Canis lupus familiaris: one gene and its partner. The protein of the gene in region 1 purifies or fractionates together with the protein of each later gene. This does not show direct contact. Links are inferred from orthologs where the notes say so. Each region holds a gene or a part of one and is shown in the gene's direction. Other genes may lie near its edges. The genes, in order: LAPTM5 and ITCH.

The links.
Region 2: the proteins of LAPTM5 (region 1) and ITCH purify together in Homo sapiens (affinity purification with western blotting; 3 studies listed by BioGRID and IntAct, with this or other methods). This does not show direct contact. The link is inferred for Canis lupus familiaris from reciprocal best matches to the Homo sapiens genes LAPTM5 and ITCH.

What each region holds. Positions count from the first base shown.
Region 1 is NC_049223.1:69,597,762-69,601,568, forward strand, and holds part of LAPTM5 (lysosomal-associated transmembrane protein 5), read left to right. Parts: intron 1-324; coding exon 325-401; intron 402-2,026; coding exon 2,027-2,158; intron 2,159-2,821; coding exon 2,822-2,944; intron 2,945-3,807. UniProt on the Homo sapiens protein: May have a special functional role during embryogenesis and in adult hematopoietic cells.
Region 2 is NC_049245.1:23,988,814-23,993,182, forward strand, and holds the start of ITCH (E3 ubiquitin-protein ligase Itchy homolog), read left to right. Parts: upstream 1-1,336; 5' UTR 1,337-1,460; intron 1,461-4,369. UniProt on the Homo sapiens protein: Acts as an Acts as an E3 ubiquitin-protein ligase which accepts ubiquitin from an E2 ubiquitin-conjugating enzyme in the form of a thioester and then directly transfers the ubiquitin to targeted substrates.

The sequences.
Region 1 (3,807 bases):
ACCCCCTCGAGCTCCCTGCTCCCGATGGGCTGACCACAGCAAGCTCAGCTGCCTGGGCTCCTGGTCACTCAGCTCACAGGCTGGCCTCCCCCTGGCTAGAGCAGCCCGGGGCCACCCTCTCACCCTGCAGCCGGGTTACCGAAATGTTGTGTTTGCTGTCTCTGTGGTCCTCCAGGGCTGAGAACTGCAGGAGGGCAGGGTCTGGGCTGGCTTGCTCACTGTCACGGCCTCCACACCAGTGATTCCCAAAATGTGGTCCTTGGAACCCGCATGGGTGTCCTGGGGGCACCTCCGGGCCCCTCACTACTGTCCCTTGCCTTGCAGCCAACCTGATCTCCAGCTTCCTGCTCATCATCATGCTCTTTGTCATCAGCTTGAGCCTGCTCATCGGAGTGGTCAAGGTGAGGGCTTGGTCGGGGTCGGGGAGGTTCTGGGGGCTGGCCGGGACCCTCAGCTATCCTCCTGCCCCCTTCATATTCACACCCACTGGGTGAACAGCACTGACAAGAGGGTGGGAGGTGGGTGCTTTGGGAGACCCCACTTGTGCCCCAGGGATCTTCAAGCTTGAGGACAGTATGGGAAGCCTCGTTTCCACACCAGCCTTCTGGGGCTGGAGGCCCTGGCTCCCGCTGACACGCACCCTCCAGGGTGGGGGCACGCACACAGATACTTTGGTCATACTAGCTGCTAACCTTCATGGTTGGAAGCTGCAAATGCAAGAAGCAGGGAATTTTGGTAGAGAAAAGAGGAAGGGTCATTTTGAGGTGTGGGGAGGTGAAAAAACAGTGGGTTTTGTAATCAGTGAGAGGAACCAGAGCAGAGAGAGCAGGGGGGCGGGTAGACTCTTGTGGCTCAGTTCCACCCAGCTAGCTGGGGAGGGAGGAAAGGAGGGAGGGAGAGAGAGAGAGAGAGAGAGAGAGAGAGAGAGAGAGAGAGAGAGAGAGAGAGAGAGAGAGGCTGTAGCTCAGTCTTCTGCGAAGAGGAACCGGTCTGTCCCTCATCCCCCAGGGGGCAGGAAGCCAGGGCCTCACTGCACAGCCACCAAAGCAGGACCCAGCAAGAGTGGCCTCTTCCAGGGAGCCTGTGGCCTGGCAATCACTGGCCAGGAGACTGGTGCAAGGAAGGATCAGGGGCTGCTTTGGAACACCTTCACCTTGCCTGCACCCCCCTCATCACTCCCTTAGCTAACAGCACCCTTTCGAAACTCTGTACCCCAGGGAGTGACTTTACCTTGTGCCAGGTGGGTCCTGAATTATTGTGCAGAGACACACATGGTCCAGCTAGAAAAGTGGACTGGGTGGTCCAGAAGGCCCTGAGATTGAGTCTGGGCTCTTCTGGCTGCCTCCTGAGTGATCTTAGACAGCCACATGAGAAACCACAAAACCACCCCTTCTGTGATTTTGTCCCCAGTGGCGAGTTCATGTGCCCTCATATTGGTCACAGTAGTCACTTGCTTTAAGTTGAAGGAGAGGGACTTCAGCCTCAGCCACCCAGGGCCTCTGACCATGACCACACACCCCAAGAGTGGCCCCCACAGAGGAGGGTCCCACCATCGCAGCAGTGTGGGCTTCCCCTGCCACCATCGGACCTTTGCTCATGTTGGCCCTTCTGCCTCCAATGCGCTCCCCGTTTCCCCCATGGTTCTTACCAGATCTAGCCTCAGGGTCCCCACCTCTAGGAAGTCCTCTCTGATGTAAAATGGACACAAAGCCCCTCCTGGTGGGGTTCTTCAGAGCAAGCAGGGTCAGAGCCGGCTCCCGGTGGCCCTGGATCTCTGTAGATGGGGACCCTTGCTCGTGTGTCCTGGGACACCAAGACGCCTGGCCCTCAAGGCCTGGGTTTTACCTCCTCCCCATCCCAGAACCTCAGTCAGAGGAAGGTGCATGGGTCCACCTGAAGCTAAGGCAGGAGGGGGTGACGGGAGAGAGCCGTGTTACCCCGGGAGGGACAGGAGCTGCCAGTGCGGGGGGCGCACGGGGCATCAGTCTCCGGCAGACTGCCTGACAGTGCTGGGCCTGTCTTCCAGAACCGGGAGAAGTACCTGCTGCCCTTCCTGTCTCTGCAAATCATGGACTTCCTGCTGTGTCTGCTCACCCTGCTGGGCTCCTACATCGAGCTGCCCGCCTACCTCAAGTTTGCCTCCCGGAGCAGCCGGGTGGTGAGTACGCAGCCCCGTCCCACGTCCCATAGTCGGCCCAGCCTGGGCAGGGGGCAGGGGCTCAGGCTAGTGCGGTGGCAGCGCCCGGGGCCCTCCTGGGCTGATGAGCCCGAGCCCATCCAATCACCTCAAGTTCCTTTGTCTGTAAGATCCACCTGCGAGGGCTGCCACCCGTGTGGGCCACGGGCATTAAGTGAGGAAAGGTTGCCCTCCGAGGGCCCAGTGATGGCCCTGTGGGTCAGGGCCTTGTGGGCACTACATCGCAGGGAAGGGGACATGTGCGCCTCAGTCCCCAGCCTCTGCTTTGTCCCTGTTTTGTCACCACATTGAAGGAAGGAAGATACAGTCGGTTAAAGCCAACAATGAGCATCCACGGGGCGGATGCCAGTGACGGGGCTGCCAATCCCTGACTCTCCCTAACTGTTGCCCTGGAAGTTAGGGAGTGGCTGGCCCCGGGCTGGGCATCGGGAGACCCTGGGCAGAGGCCGGGTCCTGCCAGCCAGGGCAGGAATGTCCAAGAAGCGGGCATCCATTCCTTTCTGGGTCCTGTGGGCTGGAGAGTCCCCGGTGTCTCTGGCTGATGGCCTCTCGAACAGCACCGGGACCTCCAGCTTAGGGCTTCATTGCTGGTTTGTCTCCTTCCTCCTGCCTTTGCGCCCCAAGGGTCCCTCCAAGGTCCCACTGATGACCTTGCAGCTGCTGGATTTCTGTCTGAGCATCCTGACCCTCTGCAGCTCCTACATGGAAGTGCCCACCTATCTCAACTTCAAGGCCATGAACCACATGGTGAGTCTGGGCCAGGGGCCCGCCCCCATCACTGGCTGTGTGGCCGTGAGCGAGCTGTGTCCCTTGTCTGTGCCTCCATGCTTAGGTTCCCTAGAGATGGAGCCCGGGAGGAGGATGCTTGTGCTAATGATTGATTGCCGGAGAGCTCCCAGATAGACACTTGAGGAGGACTGGGGACAGCATGGGGCGGGACAAAGGGAAGGAGCCGGGCAGACGTGTGACCTTAGGGGTGGCCCTGCCCCATCCTACAGGGAGCCCTGCTGTGTGAATTCCATCACAGAAATAATACTCGTTTTTTATGCTTGGAGAGAGGGGCACTCAACACATCTCAGTATGGCCCCACGGCTTCTCTGCACAGTTTTAGGGCACTACTCAATATAAGTAAAGAGGACCAGACGACTTCTTCAGGTCCTCTATATCCCTTGATTGATGACAAAGCAGCCTGGTCTTTATAAAGATATGTCCTCAGATTTTTGCGGATCTCCACATTAATACCACTACAGTATGTCATTATCCTTCCCTTCCCGAATATGGCATAATTTTACCAGAGTAACCACACACACAATACATAAGAAGCTACAAAAACATTCAGAAATGACAGGCTGCGTAATTCCCAGGCTCATTTGTTGCCTACACGACTTGTTCCCACACATCAGCGTTGCAAAATAATGTAACACTTCAGATAGAGCCTTTTAAAAAATATATTTTACTTTTTAATTTAAATTCAACTAATTAACATGTAGTGTATTATTGGTTTCAGAGGTAGAAGTCCGTGATTCATCAGGCTTATATAACACCCAGTGCTCGTTCCATCACGTGCCCTCTTTAATGTCCATCACCCAGATACCCCATCCCTCCGACCC
Region 2 (4,369 bases), on another chromosome or scaffold:
ATTTATTTATTCATGAGAGACAGAGAGACAGAGGCAGAGACACAGGCAGAGGGAGAAGCAGGCCTCACGCAGGGAGCCCAACATGGGACTGGATCCCACGTCTCCAGGATCAGGCCCTGGGTTGAAGGCGGCCCTAAACTGCTGAGCTGCTGAGCCACCCAGACTGCCCAGTTTAATGAATCCTTCAGGAGATTTTTTCTCTCTCTTTTTTAAAGATTATATTTATTTATTCATGAGAGACACACAGAGAGATGCAGAGACATAGCAGAGAGACAAACAGGATCCCTGTGGGGAGCCTAATGTGGAATTCCATCCCAAGACCCTGGGATCACAGCCTGAGCGAAAGGTAGATGCGCAACCACTAAGCCACTCAGGTGCTCTTCTTTAGGAGATTCTGATGGGCACTAAAGTTTGAGAACCACTGCCTTGGAGATTCTGAATGGGTTAGGATCCAGAAGTCTGCATCATTAATAAGCTCTCTTAAGTCATATTGCAGGAATGCAATTTGAGAATTGAGAATTGAGATTTGAACATACTTTGAAAAATGCAAGTGACTTTCCAGATGGTAAAATATGTTCATAAGGAGGAAACAGGCTAAACAATAATAGCTAAGGTCATTAATTAGGAAGCCCTTATCTGGGCCTCTGAATTTACTTGCACAGCCTATTAATTCTCACAAACAACCCATAAAGAAGAGGATGGACTCTGAAGTCAAACTGCCTGGGTTCCTATCCAGCTTGTGACTTGGTTTACCCATCTGTAAAGTGAGGATAATGGAGGTAGTTTCCTTATAGATTTGTTGTGAGGATTAAAGAAGCTTATTGATCAGCTCTTCCAATACCTGCCAGATTGGCACCACTTACATGTAGGCTATTCTCATCATCCTTAAGCGTACTTTGTTAAAAGGTGGATTTGAACCCCATCAATTTAACTCCCCAGCGTTACTTTCTTAAGGACTAAACTATAATCCAGTGTTTCTGAAAGTGTGATTCCCCCACCAGAAGCACAGCCGAGTTAGAAATGCAAATTACTAGATCTCATCCCAGATCTGCTGAAACGGAAACTCTGGGGGTGGGGCTCTCCTAAATGTCAACAAGCCCTTCAGGTGTTTCTGATGCACAATAGCTTTTGGGAACCACAGCTACAGTCTTTAGAGGTTCTGGGGAAGTGGGCATACTTTAAAAAAAAAAAAAAAAAAAAAAAAGCCTAGAGTGGCTGCGAGCAATCCCATAGTCCCTCCTACTAAGGGCGAGTAAACTCCGGTGTAGCTGCGCTGCCCAGCTCCGGCCAATTCTCCCGGTCAGCGCGCAAGGCTTTCTGGGGCTTGTAGTCCACATCCCTGCCGAGCAGGAGGCGCCTGCGCGTTGGCCGCCAACTCGCTCTAGTCGCTGTGGTCTGGGCTCGGGACCGGCTGCCATCTTAGTCGAGGGACTGAAGAGTCGCCGCCGCCCCGAGTCCCGGTAAACATTCGCGGGCGGACTGGGGGCGCTTCTGGGTAGGAGGGGGAGCCCGCAAGAGAGTGTCGGAGGAGAACCAGGGGTGAAGGAGTGCGGCGCGCGGGCAGAGGACCCTAGAGCCGCGACTGCTCTCTCCTCTCTCACAGCCGGTGCCCGTGGGGGGCGCGGGGAGCTCGGGCTAGTGGCCGAGGGGTGGGTTGGCCGGAGACGCCGAGGAGCCACTTTTTGACCGAGGCGTGGGGAGCCCCTCGCCTCGCGGGCGCCAAGTTGTGAGAGGGCTGGGCCGCGTTGGGCGCCAGCTGGGGCCGGCCCCGCGCCCCTCAGCCCCGCCCGGGGGCCACTCTCCCGCGGCCCGGCCTACGCGCGGGGCCCGGCGGCAGCGGCCGGAGCGGCCGACGTGGCCCTGTGAGGGGCGGCGGCCGGGCCCACCTGCCACTCGGCTGGCCTTCCCGAGACTTTTTGGAGCCCCCAGTCACGAGGCAGGCCCAGCGTAGCGGCTGCCTTCTCTTTCTTACACTCCCCTCCTCCCTCCATTGTCCCCCATCGTGGTGGTCCCGGCCCAGGCGCCCTTTTCCGCGCCTGCTGCCGCGGCCCCGCGGGCACCTCCCGGCGCCGAGTTTTGCAGACGTGGAGCTGTCACTGCCCTCCCTCTTGAGTGCCCTTTTCTTTGGCAGAGAAAAGAAAAAAAAGTAGTCGTGAACGTATTCTAAGGGTGAGAACGTGATGAGGACACGACTTAGTGGGGGAACTCAAGTTTTCAGACACAGTCTCGGGCCACGGCTTACAGAGAAACACAGGGTCTGTGCGCTCAAGGTGGACGTTGGGCCTAAAGTTAAAGATGTAACAAGGTGAACGTGCAAACTACCCGAAATTCACGATTCCCCAATAACAACTCAGCTTTTCTCGGTTATATGCGCATGTTAGTCTTGTTACATTTTCTGCCATAATTCTACAGCTTCAGTATACTTTTTTGGGAGTGAGGGTTGGGGAAGGAAAAGTGGGATTTTTTTGCCCTTTGGAAATTATTGAGGCACTGGAGCCAGTCACTTATCATTGCACTTAGTTGGGGGGTCTCCCGCATCTTTTCTTAATCGATTTTAGGGAAGTATGTAAAGGCAGCGGATACTAACCCTCAAAATCAGCTAAGGATTTCTCAGCTGAAATAAAGTTCTCATGGCAGCTATGCTGGAAGCCTGCACTATGTATTTATTCATAGATTTACTCGGGGTACAGTTATCAACAGAATGTAAGGTTTTTGGGTGTGAGTCCAGAAGGAATTCCTTCATGGTCAGTATATGAATCAAGTCAAAAAGGACATGAAATAAAAAATGAGTGCAGAATACGTTTTCACAGTATTCCAGAGGGAATCATTTCTGAATTCTAAAACAAAACAAAACAAAAACAAAAAACAAAAAACAAAAAAAACCCATCTGTTCGCCTATTGAAAAAGATAGACAAACCAGTAGTTCCTCAAATTGCACATTAGAATAGTTAGGGGAGCTTTTTAAAAGTAGAAATTCCAGGGTCTCCTTTTCTGACATCAATTTAGTAGGTCTGCTTTTGCCCTGAAGAATTTATTTTTAAAACATGCCTCAGGCAGCTCTCTTGGTTTTGGGAACCACTGAGGCAAACAATACTGTGAATCTACTGAGAAGCTTGAGACAGAATTGGCCAGTTCTGTCTGGGGTTTGGCTGTTGAAGGTGGCAGGACCTGCTCCTGTCCTAAGTTTGGCCTTAGATGATGAGTGGGAATGTGATAAGGATGGGGTAAGGGAAGGACAGTGCTGTATGTAAATGCAGAAGATAGTGGGAGAAAAAGGGTTCAGGGAACAGGGAGTGGGATGGGGAAGGAGAGCATTGTAGGATGTGAGGTCAGAAAGGTAAAAGGAGGTAACTGAAAAGTTATAATGCTAAAAACTGGAGTTTTATGTTAGTAGATTCAGAATTTAGACAGGGAAGTGATATGAGTGACGTGTGTTGTAGAAAAATGGCTCTGGTGATGAGAGTGAAAGGGTGGAAGAGTGGCTATTGCAGAGGTCTAGGTGAGAGGTGAAAGGACTTAATGTTGGAGAGAGGCTGTGGGGATGCTCAAGGGATTAGATTTAGTTCTTTACTAGTGCAATATTGTTGCCATATTTTTGGATGAGACTTTTTGGGGCCAGACTGGGTAAAAAGGCTCTTGTTCTGTAAAAAGAACCCATTAGCAAATCTGAACAATATTACCAGGTTATATATATTAATGGTATCAAAATATATTGTTCATTAGTACTTTTGGAAAATTAGAACTAAATTGGTTGCATTTGGAGGAGAACTTGGAGATTACACTGAAATTTATGACTTTCAACACTACTGATCTAAGCCTGTTGGAAGTGTTTTTCTCTTGTACTCAGGAACTTGGTATTAGAATTTTGGAAGAGATAATCTAGTCCACAGTGGCAAATATATTTTGGTTAATCAATTCTGCTTTGAAGTAGCTGCCAAAAGCACTGTATTGAGAAGGATTTTGGTCATATGTGCTCTCTGGGAAAGTAAGTTATGATTGATAAGTGCCTGATACTTCCTGTGGACACTGTCATCTCCTAGGTGATATATATGCCAGGTATATGCCATAATTAGACTAGTCCAACCTATTAGTTTTCTGTTTGCTTATAAAAAAAAAAATCCTAAGCAGTAAATAATTTACCTAGAACAGGTTAAGATTTAGAGCTAGAATTAGAACCAAGTTTTGTGACTCTTAGTTTATTATTCTCCAGTGTGTCAAGATGATTGTGTGCTGCTAAAAAACTTTTGGTATTAGATGAAAAGAAAAAAGGTATTTCTATCTAGCCAGTGCCTCTTGACTGCTTAGGCAAGAGTTTAACAAGGAACTTTGGCCTAGCAGTGAATTTTGTTGTATTTATTCTGGCTTAAGA